3 linked regions of the Caenorhabditis elegans genome follow. The protein of the gene in region 3 purifies or fractionates together with the protein of the main gene of each other region. This does not show direct contact. Each region holds a gene or a part of one and is shown on either strand. Other genes may lie near its edges.

Region 1 (4,737 bases), 1.5 Mb from region 3:
ACATAATTTGAAGTTTTCAAACGAACAAATTAAAACATCGAAGCAAAACGACAACTTCAAGTATTTAGATCAAAAGATCCAAAGTAAATCCTGTTTCTTCAAAAAACACTGGAAGCAACAAATTTTGAACTTTCTAGATATCTTCAATTGTTTTAATATAATTTTGGGTAACCACACAAAATGTCGCTGTACATTAACTGTATAAAGTAAATTTCAATTTGAAAATTTTTAAAGTGAATGATTCATTTCTTTGAGAACTGGAAGACTGCTCAAAATTGGATATTTTTAGGCTTTAATTTTTTTAAATTAAAATTTCCAAAAATATTCCAAAATGTTTGCATACCCCTAGAGACCTTTACAATTATAATTTTTTCCGAATTCAATTTAAGAGCAAAATTACGGTCCTCCAAAGTAGTAGTAAATAGACTCGAAAAATCTGCTCTCAAAAAAATTTCAGCTGAAAGTTAAAACAAAAAATCTCGTCAAACTGCTCGGAAAATCAACGATATTTCTTAACCAACTTTAGCGTTTTTCTAGGTGCCATTTACGGAAGTGGCCGAAGTTGGCGAAATTTGGCTGAGAATTTGGTGACGAGTTGCCTTTTGCAGCTGAAATCTTTCAATTATCAGATAGTACTGGATTCAAAGGAACTACCCAAACTTTCGTTCGAGGCGAGAATTACATGACGCTATCTATTTTCAGTTTTGAACTGTTTGATTGTGCAAATATCGTAATTGAGCCCCTTAAAATAAAGTACTCTGGTAACTGCAACTCATGAGCAAAAACTCAAAAACTCTTCATTTTTATCATCTTATCTGTGTGCGAGTCAGTTGGTTTGATATCATCCATTCAATAATAGTCTCATTCATTCTCTTCTCACGCGCTCATAAAGAGTCCTCCAATGTTAATGAGTGTTATCCAAACGCTCCTCCTCCCCAAATATCTTTTTTTTCAACTCATCTACCTCTGCTACCATCAAAAATCCATAAAATATATGAGATGATGATACTCTGCTGGTCCTCAAATACACACTCTCACACACACATTGTGACACACACACATAATGTTTCAATTTTCGTCTCCATCGTCCAACCAATTCATATTGCTTGTTGAAGGAGGAAGCTCTGATATTGCACACTATTTCTCTCGTATTACACAAAAACACTATAATAAATGATCGAGTTTCGAGGGGAGAAGACCCACAGAAGAAGAATTCTGATTCGCAACAACAACGTCTTCATCCTGCCACTCTAAACTTCTTTTGTGTTCGATCATAAATTCGATTTTATGATGGCTCGACTCGACTCGTGTCGAAGGCGGCGGCTCGCGGACCTCGAACACAATAATGTTGCCACTTGAAGCACAAAAAAGAGAGAATCAATAAGGCTTTCAATAGAAAAAAATAATAATGGGCTCAGCCAATGGAAGAATCAGCAGAGAGATGAGATGACAATAAGTCTCAAGTCTCACACACAAGAGCACTTGTTCGTCACAAAAAATGATTTGTGAAGATGAAGCCGAGAGCTGATGGTGGTGGTTTAGAGACAACTGATACCGGAAATTATGATACAAATGATACACTTCTTTTCTCAAAGATGAATATAAAATTTTTTTGAGCATACGTGCCTGCAAGGCAACCTCGGCCTAATAGTAAGCCTATATATCTTTAAATAAAAAAAGGTTAATCTTAAATTTCAACATGTTTATAGAAAATATACGACTGTAAAATTTGTATGCACATACACAGGCAGAAAGTACCAAGAAATATTCTGCATACAAAGTCATGCTCTAAGAGACTGGGTCTTCACATTCATCGAATTGTCAACAGCTGTTGAAATGTTTGACAGTACTGAATGGAAAATTAAACTTTTATTGTCACAGGTGAAATATTTGTGAAACTCGTTTTGGTTAACATTATCTACTAAAAACTTTCAAAACAAATTTCAGTCTTGCTCTTTGAGCTGGACACCAAGTTCAAATTGTCAAATTGTCATCCCCTTTTCAACATGCTCTCATCCTTTCTCTCTCATGTCTGTCTGTCTCAGAACTTGCCAAATTGATTGGTTTTCTTTTTCTCCGAAACTCTTTCTCCCTTCCCCTTGCACTCCCATATTTGGACATTTTCTCTCTCTCTCTCTCGTTTCTCTGCTTTCTTGCTCTTTTTTCTCTCTCACTTTCTCCTCATAGTCGCTTATGATTGGATGGAAATGTGACGGAGGGGCGGAGCAATATGAAAAGATGAATGGAAATATAATAAGTGTCTCTGGTCTTCGGGAGGAGCTCTTTGGACTACGGTAGGTTTTGATTGGTTATGATTGAAAGAATCGAAGGAAAAGCATTGAAAAAACACTAAAAATGAGGTAAGAAGATACGAAAGAGATAGAGATAAGAGATATGTTATCATATTTGACAAGGTTCTGTGTTGGAAACATTTTAATGAAAAAGTGTTCCTTGAAGTGGAACAGATGTGACAGATTTCTCATTAAAACTTAAAAAAATGAATGAACGAGAAATATATGATAAATTATATTTAAATGAAAATGCCAAACTAGGATGGTTTTGGTAATATTAATTTTTTTTTAATACTGGTTTTCTAGCAAATGTCTCGTCCGAAACTATTCGAAGTAATATGAATAATATTGATAAGTTGATAAGAGGAATTGACATTAAAATTGTAAATTTACACCAATTTATTGTCTCCTTCCAATTTTCATTACTTATGTCCCAAAAACCCATAAAAACTAGTGATAACTGGTTTTTCTAGAAAGTCTAAAAACCTTCAAAAATGTAGAACTAAAATGATTTTGAAACATTCCAAAAGTGCGTTTTAAGTTTTAATATTCAACTTTGTTATTTTCGCAGAAAATTTCAAGATTTCAAGGTCGATCATCATCGCCTTGTTTCATTTTCTTGTCTTTTACTTCATTAAACACCCCGCATTTTCCTCTCATTTCCCTCAACTTACCACCAGACATTCGACGTGGTTTTGACTGTTTTCTGCGGGATGAAACCGCGGCCATCTCGGCGAGCAGCTCATTCATCTGGAGCTCTGAAAAGTTGAAATTACTAGAAGATGAGCATGATAGGCAAAGAATGAAAGAGTAATAGTGGACAAGAAGAGGGAAAAAAGCAGAGAAAAGGATACAAAACAACACACACAGAGAAAAGAGACAGAACAAAAACGATTTATATTAGAAAGATGAGAAGGCGACGGGACAAGGGGGCACATATTGCGAAAACAAGGCTATTATCAAAATTTATATTATTAGAGTAAAATGGTAAAAGTATTGAAGACACGAGATGGCAGTAAGGGAATGGGAATGGAATTCAATTGACGATAAAAAATTGAACTTTAAAATAGAGTCATTAATCATAAATGATATTGCTCGAATGAGCTAGTTATCGAGCGGCGAGCCTATAGTCTAAATTTGCCCATAATGCATTTTTGGAATGAACATTTTTGAATTATGCACCGGCTCGCCATTTGTCTTTGCAAAAGTTACGAAATACTTGGTTATATGACTGGGTTTAGGCCGCACCCAGATTCAGCCCAAAATTGATCTAACTCTTTTCAGCGTCTCAGCCAAGTTTAAAACGATACAATACAAGTTTCACAACAGCTAGATAAAACGTGAGTTTAATTTGGGTACATCATAAACCAGGACTTTCTCAAGTTTGCCCCGAGCTTTGTCAGTTTTTGAAAGAGTAATTTTTGGATCAACCATAGGCAATCAGTTCGCGCCAAATGACGAGTATAGCCGCAGAAGAATCTTGAATCGGATGATTTTTTTCGAGTGTAAATATGAAATTTTGTTGTTCATGGTTGGGTAAAGAAAGAATATCTCAAAAAATGATCAGGGGAAGGTAGTGAGTGATGATGTGAGTAAGTGAGGGTGTAGAAGATGAAAATCGTATAAAATGAGTGAGTGAGCGGTTCCCCTTTTCCATGAGGTGGATACGGTGTTGCAATTGAAATAGTTGGAAAAAAAGGATGGAAAAAAGATCGGATCGGTATGAATATAAAGTGCGAGATGCGGTTGAAGATTCCGTTAAATTTGGTGGGGTCTGAGTTCTGTTTGTGTGTGTTCTACAGGCTTTTCGGATTATGAGTCATCAGATCTTGTAGACTAGAATTATTTTAGGTTGAGTTGTAAAGTTTGATTTCTAAATTTAGATAGGAAATGAGGATCGGACGTTTTCAGATACAAGCCTTAGTGCAAAGCTAACCCAGAAATTTGTTATAGATACATATATCGCTATAAAGTGACAGTGTCCCTTTCTCGCAAATTGTGGCGTCACAATTAGTTTCTAGTACAAATCATTTTTAAAAATCATGCTCGACGCCAGACTACAGAAAAAATGGTTGCTCCGTCTTGCAGATGTTAAGCTTCTGTAAGTGAGCTCTGAAAGGTGTTAGCTGAGATATTAAAAATAACATGGCAGGTTGAAATTGTTTTATGTGAAAATGGAACTACATTATTGAAAGTTCTCAAGAAAGTCTCAACCTCAGAACTTGACTAAAAAAGCAGAAATTTCTAAAAATGGCAAATCAATGAATGAATAACTGAATTACTTGCATGATTTGTTGAATGATTGATAAAACACTAATTGAATTAATGAACACAGTCAACCCCAGAAAAAGTCTTTTTTTTTCTCTCTTCATCAGAAGACGTCGTCGATGATTCGAGACGAATTTGATGATAATTGTCACCCCCGTGGTGGTGGTGGTGAGGGGAG
Region 2 (4,564 bases), on a different chromosome or scaffold from region 3:
TAATTTGTAATTCCGAATTAAATAATTCTCGATTTAATGATTGCTGAAAAATAAATGTGAGTAATTCTGAAAATCTTAAAAATTAAACTAACTGGACATAAATGTGGATTGATTTCAAGCTCAGCTCGTTCTTGTTTCATTAAATTTAAAGATATCTCAGGTATATCGTCTGCTCTGAAGTACCTCGTAAGTTTCACTACCACGTGATCTCGTTTTGTCTGAAAATTGGTATTCTTTATTTTGTTTTGAAAAATATATAATCTCTTATCATTTTTTGAATACTATGTGTAGCCCTGTCAAAGGAATTTACCTTTTTTGATAAACTCAGTTTTCGGCTTTGAAAATCCAGAAGAAAAATTATCCCTGCGTTGTCAAAACTAGAAAATATTGTAATTTTGTTGCTCTTAGAATTTTGGCTTTAAAAACTAGTTATCCCAATTTCCTATTTAAATTCTAAAATAAGCTCATCAGTTGGTCACGTGAATGTGCTTTGTCAACAACAAAGAGGAACATTATGTTCTTCTCACAGCTCATAAAAGTGAGCAAACTTTCTACTTTTATTGTGTATACTAAAATGTATGTTTTTGTGATGATACTATAAAAGTGTTTGAATTAAAAAGTTTATGTTTTTTCACTTTCAATGCATTCTCTAATTCTCAACGACTTCCCGCGCAATCCGATTATGACACGGTTTTTAGTGGGTTCTGAAGGACGAACAAGTGGGCAAATGACTCAATGACATCTTCCTTATACTTTTATGTTTAAAAAAGTATTCAGTGCTATCAGTCGAAAGGAAAACATGAAGGGAATACATGAACCCACTAAAACTGTGTCAATATTTACACAAGTGCGGTTCTCTCCTCCTCTAAACCAGTAGTTCAAGGAACAAGGGAATGAAGAGATATAGAGAACAAGTAAATTGATAGTTGTTTGGAATTTGAGAAGAGGTCAGCAGAGATTATAAAGTATCAAAGAATCTCTAGTTTCAAAAAGAAAACCTCATTTTTCATTTTCCAAAAAGTTCAATTTGTCCTTAAACCCCCTTTTCTATCAATTTATTTCGAAATTGTCAAACATCACCCGGTTTCTCGCAACATTAATTTTTAAATGCCGAATTTGTTATCTTATCGCTACATTCACTGAGTGTTGCCCATTATATAAATATTTCATTGTAACACTGTGGAACGATTTGATCTATTGTGGTTCTGATTTTTGAGGAACAAGTTTCCAAGAAACAATTATTTCAAAAACCTTAATATGGCAGAACCATCTGCTGACATGCCTCACGATCTCATTACTCACATATTTAAATCCGCATATTGCCGCTATCACATACGGCTCGTTTTGTGACACTTCTACGAATACTGAATCTCGTAGCCTGTACAATGTGCCATCATGTGATTGAAACCCTTTTAGATCACTGTCTTGTCGATACCGGTATACCTGAAAAAATATGTTTAGTAAATCAGTAGATTTGTATGTTTCAAACTTTCAACTAACGATATTATATTAGAAACTAGTCTGTCTTATTTATCTTTCCGGTTTCTCTGTATCTTTGAGGTGAAATGAACTAGTGTTCACTTGTACTTGTCGTCTGCGTCTCTCCTCTCATTAGCTTCAGTTGTCAATTGGCACCTCGTCTCACACTAGGTCAATGCCAACTAACACTAAACTGTGAGAGAATGAAATATTATGAGCGCACATTTCAAAACAAACAAACAAATCATATAATGCGGCAAAAAATGTTTTTTTGTGTTTGTGTGTCTATTGTCGCATAGTATCTATCTTTTTAACTCTCAAGCGTCTCTTTTGTTTGTACTCTCTTGAGGGAAGAAGCATCTCTCTGGGGTCTCCGAAAACTTCTGTTGACTTTGCTTTCCTTGCCAGCCAGAAAAAAGCAATTGTCTCGAATTTCAGATCAAAAATTGGGCAGCTGTTTTTGCCTCGCTTCGCTTTTTTTTGGAAAACATGCGCACAATTCGAGGAAGTATGCTGCCGACTGACAACTAATCTAGTCAAAGTTCAATTTTCAATTTTTGACGAAACGAGAAGAGAGGTCACTTCGGTTTTTTTTTCGGCTCGCGATCTTCTCAGTGTTTGACTATCTGGTTCTTCTCGATTTGAAGCTCGCAATGTGTGTGTGTGTAAGCGCAATGTTTGAGGTTTAGCCATCAAAACGTTTCGCAGAAAAAACGGGTGAAAAAAGATTGAAATCCAGGTTTTTGTCTATTTGTAGCGATGTTCGTCTAATCGGGAGAGAATTTGAATTATGACCAGCGTCTCCTCTTCCTTTTGACCTCCCCTACACACTAAACTGCCTAAATGTCTGTGTCTCTTCCAAAAACTCGACAGAACGACAATTAATTGGTTTTTCGAGTGTTGAGATATTGAAGGGGAAGAAGATACGCATACATAAGATGTCTATTCAGATTATAACTATTAAAGAGTACAGGAAATTACTCAAATTTCAGATTTTTGAATTAAAAAATGACTTACTATTCCACGGCAATTCCTATCCGATTTGCCTGTAAGACTATAATAACATGGTTCAATATCGTAATGCTTTTGGGAAAATTCTGGTTCGTCATCGTTTTCCATTGGGGAAGAAACGCCGTCTGAAATTTGATAATTTATATTTTAAATTATTTCAAGTAGGCGGTCTTTAGAATCTAGATCACACAATCAAAAGTTACAAAAAAGAATTGCCGCATGTGTCTTCTTATGTGTTCGTACATTTGTTCGACTAATCCGCTAAGCGCTAATCCGCAGCGAGAATCATAACATTTTACGCTGGTGAAGATGGGGCCATCTTTCTAAAAGAACGGCCCCCACTGGGAATACCCGTATCTAGGTTGACATGACATACAAGAAGACACAGAGACGGTTCAGTTACAATTTCATTACCTTGGCTATCCTCAGATGACGACGGCACACATTCGTCCTCTTTGTTGACGTCTTCACTACTGCACTGGCTGTCAAAGCGGCTCATCTTTGTCTTGTTGCCTTTTTTAGTTTTTCCAGTTTGCTCCCCCAAAAATGATGAACTATCCTAAAGAATTGGTCTTAATTTGAATCATTGAGAACACACGAAAATCAGCTGGATAAAAAATGAAAAGATGAGATGAGAGAGGAAGATGGTGATGAAAAGCACAGAAGTTCTTTTTTCTTTCCCTCCGGAACCCTCTAGAGCCTAGTAAAAACACAAACTAGAACAGCACCGAGGGATAGAAGAAAGGAAGACGGGAGAGAGGAAAGGGATGAAGACGGGGTGGGGTGTGGGAGTGGCGTGGGGCGGGCGAGGGTCGTCGTCGTCGGTTAGTGGGGCACATACACAGAGCACATACACGACTGGTCCGTTAGGAAAAGAGACATTGGCGGCATCGCCGTCGCACCGCATTCATCAAATATTTTGGTGTATTTAGCAGCAGGAGCAGGACCACCGAGCGCCAAGGAATCTGATTGACTCGGAAGATCCATTAGAAGTCAAATACAACAGTAATTGGTAACACACATTTTCTAACTTACACAAATCAAATCTTTTCAAGAACTTGAATTGTTCACTATTTTCACAATCAATTAAGATCACAAGAGAAAATGTTTACTTAACTCAAGAACTTGATCAAACTTCATAAAATCCTTCAAAAACCTTCAAGCTTAATAAATTACTGTAACTCGTCATACGTTCGCACCTACTTAGCGCATACTAACAGATGATAGTAAATCGCAACATCATCCATTAAACGACTTGTCTTGTCCAGCATGTCGCTCAAAAAAGTCAAGTGATGATAAGAAAGAGGAAGAACGACAATTGTCAAGAAGGGGCAAGGTGTAGGAAAAGAGCTCAGTTTTCACACGTGACCTCGGCTCAACTTTCAGAATGAGTCCTGAAGTCTAGATCCTAGTGGACACTGTACTCACATTCAACTACCATAAGAATTGGGGAAAAATAAGTGTGTGTGAGAGAATGAGAACTGTAAAACAGACGCAGAGAATAGTGCTAGTACATACCACAAAAAGGTGGAATAGTCGGTGGAAGGGGGAGGACGGTGTGGCGGGAAGGGAGGAGAGGTAGTCACCGAAGGAAAAGAGAGAGAGAGAGGTAGAGAGAGACAACCCGAGAGACGAGACAACCGATGTATGTTTGCGATCAAAAACAGTTCGACGGTGACAGTGACGACCTCAAAGCAGACCGCCACTGTGTCTTGGCTTTCCATGACGTGGCAACTTTTTCAAAATATGAAATAACTCATTACAAGTGTTGTTGTGCTCTTTCATTCAACCAAACAGTGAGGAACGATGAATTATAAGAGAAAGGGGGAACGGGGGATTAGCCAGAATTGAATAGAAGAGGATGACCTGCTAATGACAATATGGCAAACAAGATGAGAGTCTTATGAATATCATTTGAACATTTTGAGAATCAAAGAACTGGCAACATTTCAGATGTTTTCTTTTTCCAAAATTTATTATGATACGACAGCCATTTTCACACAGTTCGTAATGTGCATAATAAAAATACAAAACGTGGGAGAGACCTGATGGTTGGTGGTCAGGTCAATTGTCA
Region 3 (6,721 bases):
AAATGATTTAAAGCTAAAATTTAAAATACTCTTAAGAAGGCTCTTGAAGATGTATTTGGGTGCAATATTAATATAAAAAATACGGTATTCAACATTTACAAAAATCAAATATAAATGAAAACCAATATACTTAAATTTTTACATAAATCCAACTAGAGTACCATTGAAATATCTATTTCGGTTATTCACAACAAAAACTCGATTCTAACTGAGTAAAAGATCATCCGAAGACAAGCGGAAATTGGCACAAGCTTTCAATCCGGCTTAGAGGAAAGCGAAATTCGAGATTTATTGAGTGGGAAGATATGGGGAAAAGTGAGAAAACGAACATCTTGCAGCTGGAGTCATAGTTACAGAAATCAAGACAAAACTTTTTTTCAAACAAAAAATAAAAAATTTATCGCGTTAATTTTGATTGATTTCAACTATTACTTGCAGATTAATAAAGTTTTGGAATACTAAAAATCTTGAAAAGCATCCAGACTTAAAAATATGTATGGGACATTTGCCTTATTTTGATCTACATAGTCACACTAGTATGAATATACAATCAAATTATAAAACATGTGCAATAAAACATGATGGAACTTCAGAAAAAAAAACTGGGTTAAACTAAGTGATAGGTCAGTTTAAGAGGCACATTTTCAACCGGAACTTCTTGACAGTTCACAGCAAATTTGAAACCAAATTTTGCAACTTTAGCGATGGAAATGTCTAAAGGATATTAAACAGCGGCAAATTTTCAAGTTGAAAGAAACGAACTCGAAATCTATTTTCCTGAAATAAAAAATATAGAAGGAACCTATCAGGGAATATAACGTCGGTGAGGAAATGAGGATGAAAGTGATGGAAGAAGAGAGAAAGGGGTGCGGGAAGAAGAGTTGAAATTCATTGCTCATGCAAATCTTATGCCGTGTGTCTCTGTATGTATTTGTATGTGTGAGTGCCTTCTTTTTCCAACCATTCTCATTCTTCGCCACCCTCATTTTTGTCTGTTTCCTTTATTCAGTTTTCGATCGTCTCAAGATTTTTGAGAAATTTCATGAAATTCGCTAGGTTTTCGATTTTTTCTACCTTCCAGAAGTAATTTTTTATTTGAAATATGTGTATTGTGTAAAGTTTTCTTGTTAAAAACTTACGGTGTCAACTTCCAACTGCTTTGGGATATTTTATTGCAAACATACACTTCTTTTTTTGTCTACTTTTCTGTCAGAAGAAAAATATATTCGAGTATGAATAACCACTGAATTTACTGTATTTTTTTAGTTTACAATCGATGAAGTTTTCAGCTGTATGGAAAAAAGATGGAAAAGATTTTTCACCAGGTTGTCAATACGTAACGCTCTTTTGCCAAAATCTATTGAAATTATTACATAATAACTATTATTTTAATTGTTATCAAGCGTTGGCTTTTTAATTACCGTCTTTCCTCTAATAGCATTACACTGTATTGCTCAACTTTGGCACCTCATATCTAGATTGTCTTTGGGTTGATCAAAATGTTAGCAACTAACAAAACATTGGGTATTTATTATCTATAGTTTTGTAAAAAAAATAAGTTGTAAAATACTTCAAAAGAACCGAAAAATAGGCTTTCAAAAAGAATAGGCGGATGCAAGATTTTACGATTGTTTTGAAACTTAGAAATCTTCCAATAATGTGTTTCTATAACTTTCAACACCTCTTCAAATAACTCCAAATAAATAAATGTATTTCTAGACACTAAACCCATATCTTCACAATTCTACAGCATCAATGTCTCATGACAGTAGGCGTGACCATCTTTACAAACATATCAAAGAATGGGCGTGTCCTGATGTCAATTCTCGTCGATTGGTTATACGATTACGGTGGCTAGACGAGACGCAGAAAGACCGCTTTCCTGCCAACACATTCCAAGTGGCTCCCGTGTGAAAAAGAGACGCAGCAAAAAGGGAAACGAAGAAGAAGAAGACCGCCCCTCTTTTGACTACTACCTCTTCCTTTTCTCTCTTCATTTTCAACACACACATCCCATCTTTTCCACAGTAGTGGCCACCCCGTTGCTCCTGGACTTCCCAACTGATGCTCATACCTTCGTCGTCATCCATACCGTCTTCTTTATCTGCTTCAGCATCCGATTCTGAGCCATCATCACTGAACGGAAGTGGTATAAGTGATCAGAATATTCTACCTAATTATCATCTTCATCATCATCTAATTAACGAGAACGAGATGGAGGCAGCCAATTATGCACAGGTTAGTTCTTCTTTTTATTCGTTTCCTCCCACAACTGATTTGATTCTGATGAGGACGACATTATACAGCGAGTAGGTCCAAAAAAGGAGGCAAGCGGGGGGGGGGGGGCACAGCATTTGAATTTCAATTTTATGCCAATAAGAATCAGCCCCTCGACTGCCCCATTCAGTTCTTCTACACTTGTTGCCTCAAACTCTAACAGTGTCTTACCGCTGTTACAAAGTTGTATATTGTACATTGTTCTGATAGATTGTTATTTTCTAGGCATAAAGTAACATTCATCTAGAAAATTAGTTGAGCTGATACTCCTATATTTTAAGGTGTCTCTGATAGTACCTCAACTGCTTGTAGATCGACAAATGATGTAGTTGTTTCTTTCATTTGTGTTCTGAAAGTATTAGGTGGAACCGTAAACCCAGAATTCTGATGTTCCTGGCAGTATAAAACTTTTTATATCCTAGACATAAAGTGCCAAGCTTCTGTAATTTAGTTGAGCTAAAACTTCAATAAAGTATTGTTTAGATTAACTACTTGTAGGAATGATAACAGGTAATCTAAATCTATATTTTCACTGGCATTAGGCTTTCATTTATACAATGTTTATTTTGTTATAAAAATTGTGAACTGTAACTCCAGATTTTTGAAATTCTTACAGAGCAGTTTTTTCATTGTGAAACTAAAATAATTAATTTGAAGTTGAAATATTAAACATTTGCTATTATAACTATAAAAAGGTCTACTAAACCGTCAAATTGGAAAATTGATTTCGAAATAATGTGGGGACTAATAAAAACTGCAAAAATTGTTTGGTGAAACCTTACCTACTTTTAGGAATAATCAACAATGCATTTAACTATAATTTTATAAAACTCTTTGAAATTTTTCTCATTGATGTTTTTTAACTGCCAATGACTTGGTAAAAGAAGTATAGAAGGCTTAAGAAACATTTTGGTCCTTGGTCAGTCTAGAATTCATGAAATCGGAGCCGTAATTTTTCATTATACTGGTTTGTAATTATATCCTTTTTAAACACCTCAATCAATATTTGTATTATTTTCCTATTCACTAATGTACCTTCCAAATATCCCAGAACAATACAGTATCACTAACACGAACTGCACGTCATCACATATCATTCTCTCTGTAAAACTTGATGACTCTTTTTCAATCCGATTATCAAAATTTCCGCCCTTTCTTCTGTTTCTAGTACATCTCTCTTCATGTACACAAACTACTACAGTACCCCTTGAGTCTCTCAAAGATCGTTGCATTCGTCTGTCTCCACGTAGATACCATGTATAATAGACTCATGAGAATCTTTGTGGGAAACAGTTATCAACAATTCAATATTATTTTGTCATGTGTGGAGCGAAAACCAACAGAAAAAGGAAGAGTTGATGATGTACTAGAGGGTAGAAAATTGGCAGATGTAGTCCCTAAGAAGGCGCCGTGCTAAAGAGGATTAAGATTGATTGGCCTCTTTTTTTCTCTAAGCTGGGTGTTCATCTGTTCAAGACTAAATTGGATCGAGGCCAAAATTGTAGGGCCAGAAAATTGAACGATTTTATATAAGCAGTGAGGGATGAAATAAGAAGCTCCGGGAACATTGTCACAGTTCATCAGAATACTTTTATTTCATTAATATGGCTGAACTTTCAAAAATTACTCGAAGGAGCTGCGACCCATAATGATGTTACATACAATCGTCTCAATCGATTAGATTTCATAATGAGATATTAAAAATCCTGATTTATGTTGCAAATTTGAACTGTGTGTTCCGTTTTTTCACTGATTTTTCACTGAATATACTTTTTTCAATTGGTAGGCGCACATACCATTTTGAATCCTTTAAAACAAGGAAAGTTATATCTTTTATTTTTAGCACACTTTTTAATAGTTTCGGAACGTTTCTTATTTCAAAAATATTTAATAAGCTGTCACTCGAAGTACCACGTATTTTCAAAAACGACATTACAATTCTAGCTGCAAAATGTTTCAGGTTATCAAACCAACATGCGAGGCATTCCAAGATTGGCCGCATACTCCAATGCTGTATCAACAACCTCAACTTCATTTCATGCTTCCACAACACGATTGGGCATATCCACATCTTGCTCAATCTCTACCTCCTCCACATCATCTAACACCGTCCACTGCAGCAGTTGCTGCTGCAACAATTGCCTCACAAAGTTCAATAATCAATCAAACGTCTGTGGTTACAAGTACACCTTCGTGCCAAATCAAACAGGAAGTTGAACGACCTGAAATTATTCAGAGGTTAATGCCTCCATGGCCACCAGCTTATCAATTTTCTTGTGATGATAGTGGATCAGTGAGTGGAGCTGGTGGACCACATCAGCCATTATCTGATATTTCCGATGATAGTGAACAGACGTGTCCAGATGATTTGGAAGGATTTGCAAAACAATTTAAGCAGAGAAGAATCAAATTAGGGTGAGTGAAAATTTTAAATGTTCTCTACACATAACTGTAAAAAGTTAAACTTTTGAAAATAACAATTTCGATATCTCAAACATTTCGAGGCAACGTTCTGTCAACCAGCTGGTACAATGCCAAAGTTGGGCAGAAAGTTATCCTCAAATTCTGATCAAATTGGAATTTATCAGTTGGCAATTCCTCATATTCTTTCATTTTCATGTTCTTCAATTTCCAGATACACACAAGCAGATGTAGGTGTGGCTCTCGGAACACTCTACGGAAATATATTTTCCCAGACAACAATTTGTCGTTTTGAAGCGCTTCAACTCTCTTTCAAGGTTTGTTGACTTTCATCCACATGACTTTCAACGGAAACTGTTTCTTGTTGCCGACTTTTCTATGTTTTAATTGAATTTAATTTCGTTATAGAATATGTGCAAACTAAAGCCACTTCTATTCAAATGGCTCGAGGAAGCTGATTCAACGACTGGCTCGCCCAATTCTACATTTGAAAAAATGACAGGGCAAGCTGGAAGAAAGAGAAAGAAGAGAACAAGCATTGAGGTAGTTTGTGTTTAAAACTGAAAAATGTTATATACCGGTGTTTCAGGTCAATGTAAAATCTCGTCTTGAATTCCATTTCCAGTCGAATCAGAAGCCAAATGCACAAGAGATTACACAAGTTGCCATGGAGTTGCAGCTTGAGAAAGAGGTAAGGATATTTTTCTATTTTCCGGAATTTTTATTACTGTGAACTTCGAATTTTTTTTACAGTAACTTGACAATGATTTGAGATTTTGATTATTATGAATGAGATTTTGATTATTAATTCATTTAATTAAAGTGTTTCTCTACAAAAAAAAGTGTCCCAATAAAATATAAAGTTTAGGTTTAAGTTTAGTTTAGTACGGTTTAAATACCGTTAATTAAAATTGCAAATGTAGAGTGTGAAAAGGGTGAAGAATGAGGCAAGTGAAAGGGGCGCCTGGAGCAAGTTAAACGCCTACCTCATTAAATTTTTCTGAAACTTCACTTTCTCAAAAGTATAATTTAGGTTGTCCGTGTCTGGTTCTGCAATCGTCGTCAAAAAGAGAAGCGAATAGCTCCAAATCAATACGATGCTCCACATCCAATGGCTTTAAACAATGGATATCCAATGACTGCTGACCTTTTCCCATATCAAGCCGTCGTCAATCATTATACTCAACAGAGCCCGAGACAACAATAGTTTTTTGTGATGCGTATTGATGTAGCAGTAATATAATAATAATAATACTCAAATGAATCACCGGTAATTTATAATGACAGAAAGTTTAATAGTTTTCAAACATCCTTCTCTGAAGAAGACCAACAGTATTTCTTTTCCCCTATTATTTTTTTTGATACAATCCTCTTCACTTCTCACATCATTCTGAAAATGGGTATTCGTTTTTTACAATTATTAATTAGTTCTATTGTGTATCATTTCTAAATTAGTTTCCAAACTTTTTATTTTGTTCGAATTCATTTATTTTATAAATATCTGTACGTTAAAATGGAAGTAGCATATTTTAATTTAGATGTCTGCTGAATATAATTATATATAACTGTCTTTTTTCAGAGTAGGTAAAAATCAGAATTTAAAAAATTCAAAAAAGGAAATTTGATCTAGAGCATAAGCTTTCGAATAACTCATATAACTTTAAAGTTTTAAAAAAGTTCAAAATTTTCAATTTTGCAAATAAAACTGAAAATTACTGAATTAATGTATTTCTCAATTGGACTTGCACACTTTTGCTCTATTATGACAGCTGTATCCGTTATCATTGTCTCAGTTGTCTCTGCATTTATCAAAAATTGTCAACTGTAAAAAGACGTGCAAAATTTTTCTCTATATTTTAATTATTACAACTTTTTGATAACAGTTAAGACATCCGATAAAAGTCTATAAGTCGCCGAGCCGTTGGGGGAAAATCTACTAGAACAACTACGGTAGTTTTGAATTCCCGCACAAATGAATGACCTAGTTGTGGGAATTTCATAAAAATTAGAAATTTGAATTTTT

The links.
Region 1: the proteins of ceh-6 (region 3) and sem-4 purify together in Caenorhabditis elegans (affinity purification with western blotting, with the first as the bait; one study listed by BioGRID). This does not show direct contact.
Region 2: the proteins of ceh-6 (region 3) and egl-27 purify together in Caenorhabditis elegans (affinity purification with western blotting, with the first as the bait; one study listed by BioGRID). This does not show direct contact.

The regions. Positions count from the first base shown.
Region 1 is NC_003279.8:7,037,212-7,041,948, reverse strand, and holds the start of sem-4 (Spalt-like protein sem-4), read right to left. Parts: upstream 3,050-4,737; 5' UTR 3,042-3,049; coding exon 2,966-3,041; intron 1,309-2,965; exon of another isoform or gene 1,238-1,308; intron 1-1,237. UniProt on the Caenorhabditis elegans protein: Transcription factor, involved in positive and negative modulation of transcription. Binds to multiple DNA sequence motifs in the regulatory elements of target genes, including homeobox selector egl-5 and LIM homeobox mec-3.
Region 2 is NC_003280.10:6,833,506-6,838,069, reverse strand, and holds the start of egl-27 (Egg-laying defective protein 27), read right to left. Parts: upstream 3,050-4,564; 5' UTR 2,990-3,049; coding exon 2,905-2,989; intron 2,616-2,904; coding exon 2,497-2,615; intron 2,484-2,496; exon of another isoform or gene 2,377-2,483; intron 1,444-2,376; coding exon 1,303-1,443; intron 219-1,302; coding exon 93-218; intron 44-92; coding exon 1-43. UniProt on the Caenorhabditis elegans protein: Transcription factor which promotes stress survival and delays aging. Required for cell cycle progression and development of the mesodermal and endodermal embryonic lineages.
Region 3 is NC_003279.8:8,497,604-8,504,324, reverse strand, and holds ceh-6 (Homeobox protein ceh-6), read left to right. Parts: upstream 1-1,720; 5' UTR 1,721-2,064; coding exon 2,065-2,238; intron 2,239-4,237; coding exon 4,238-4,692; intron 4,693-4,912; coding exon 4,913-5,015; intron 5,016-5,106; coding exon 5,107-5,241; intron 5,242-5,287; coding exon 5,288-5,389; intron 5,390-5,731; coding exon 5,732-5,905; 3' UTR 5,906-6,213; downstream 6,214-6,721. UniProt on the Caenorhabditis elegans protein: Vital for embryonic development and essential for the proper function of the excretory cell. Required for the transdifferentiation of the Y rectal epithelial cell to the PDA motor neuron during larval development.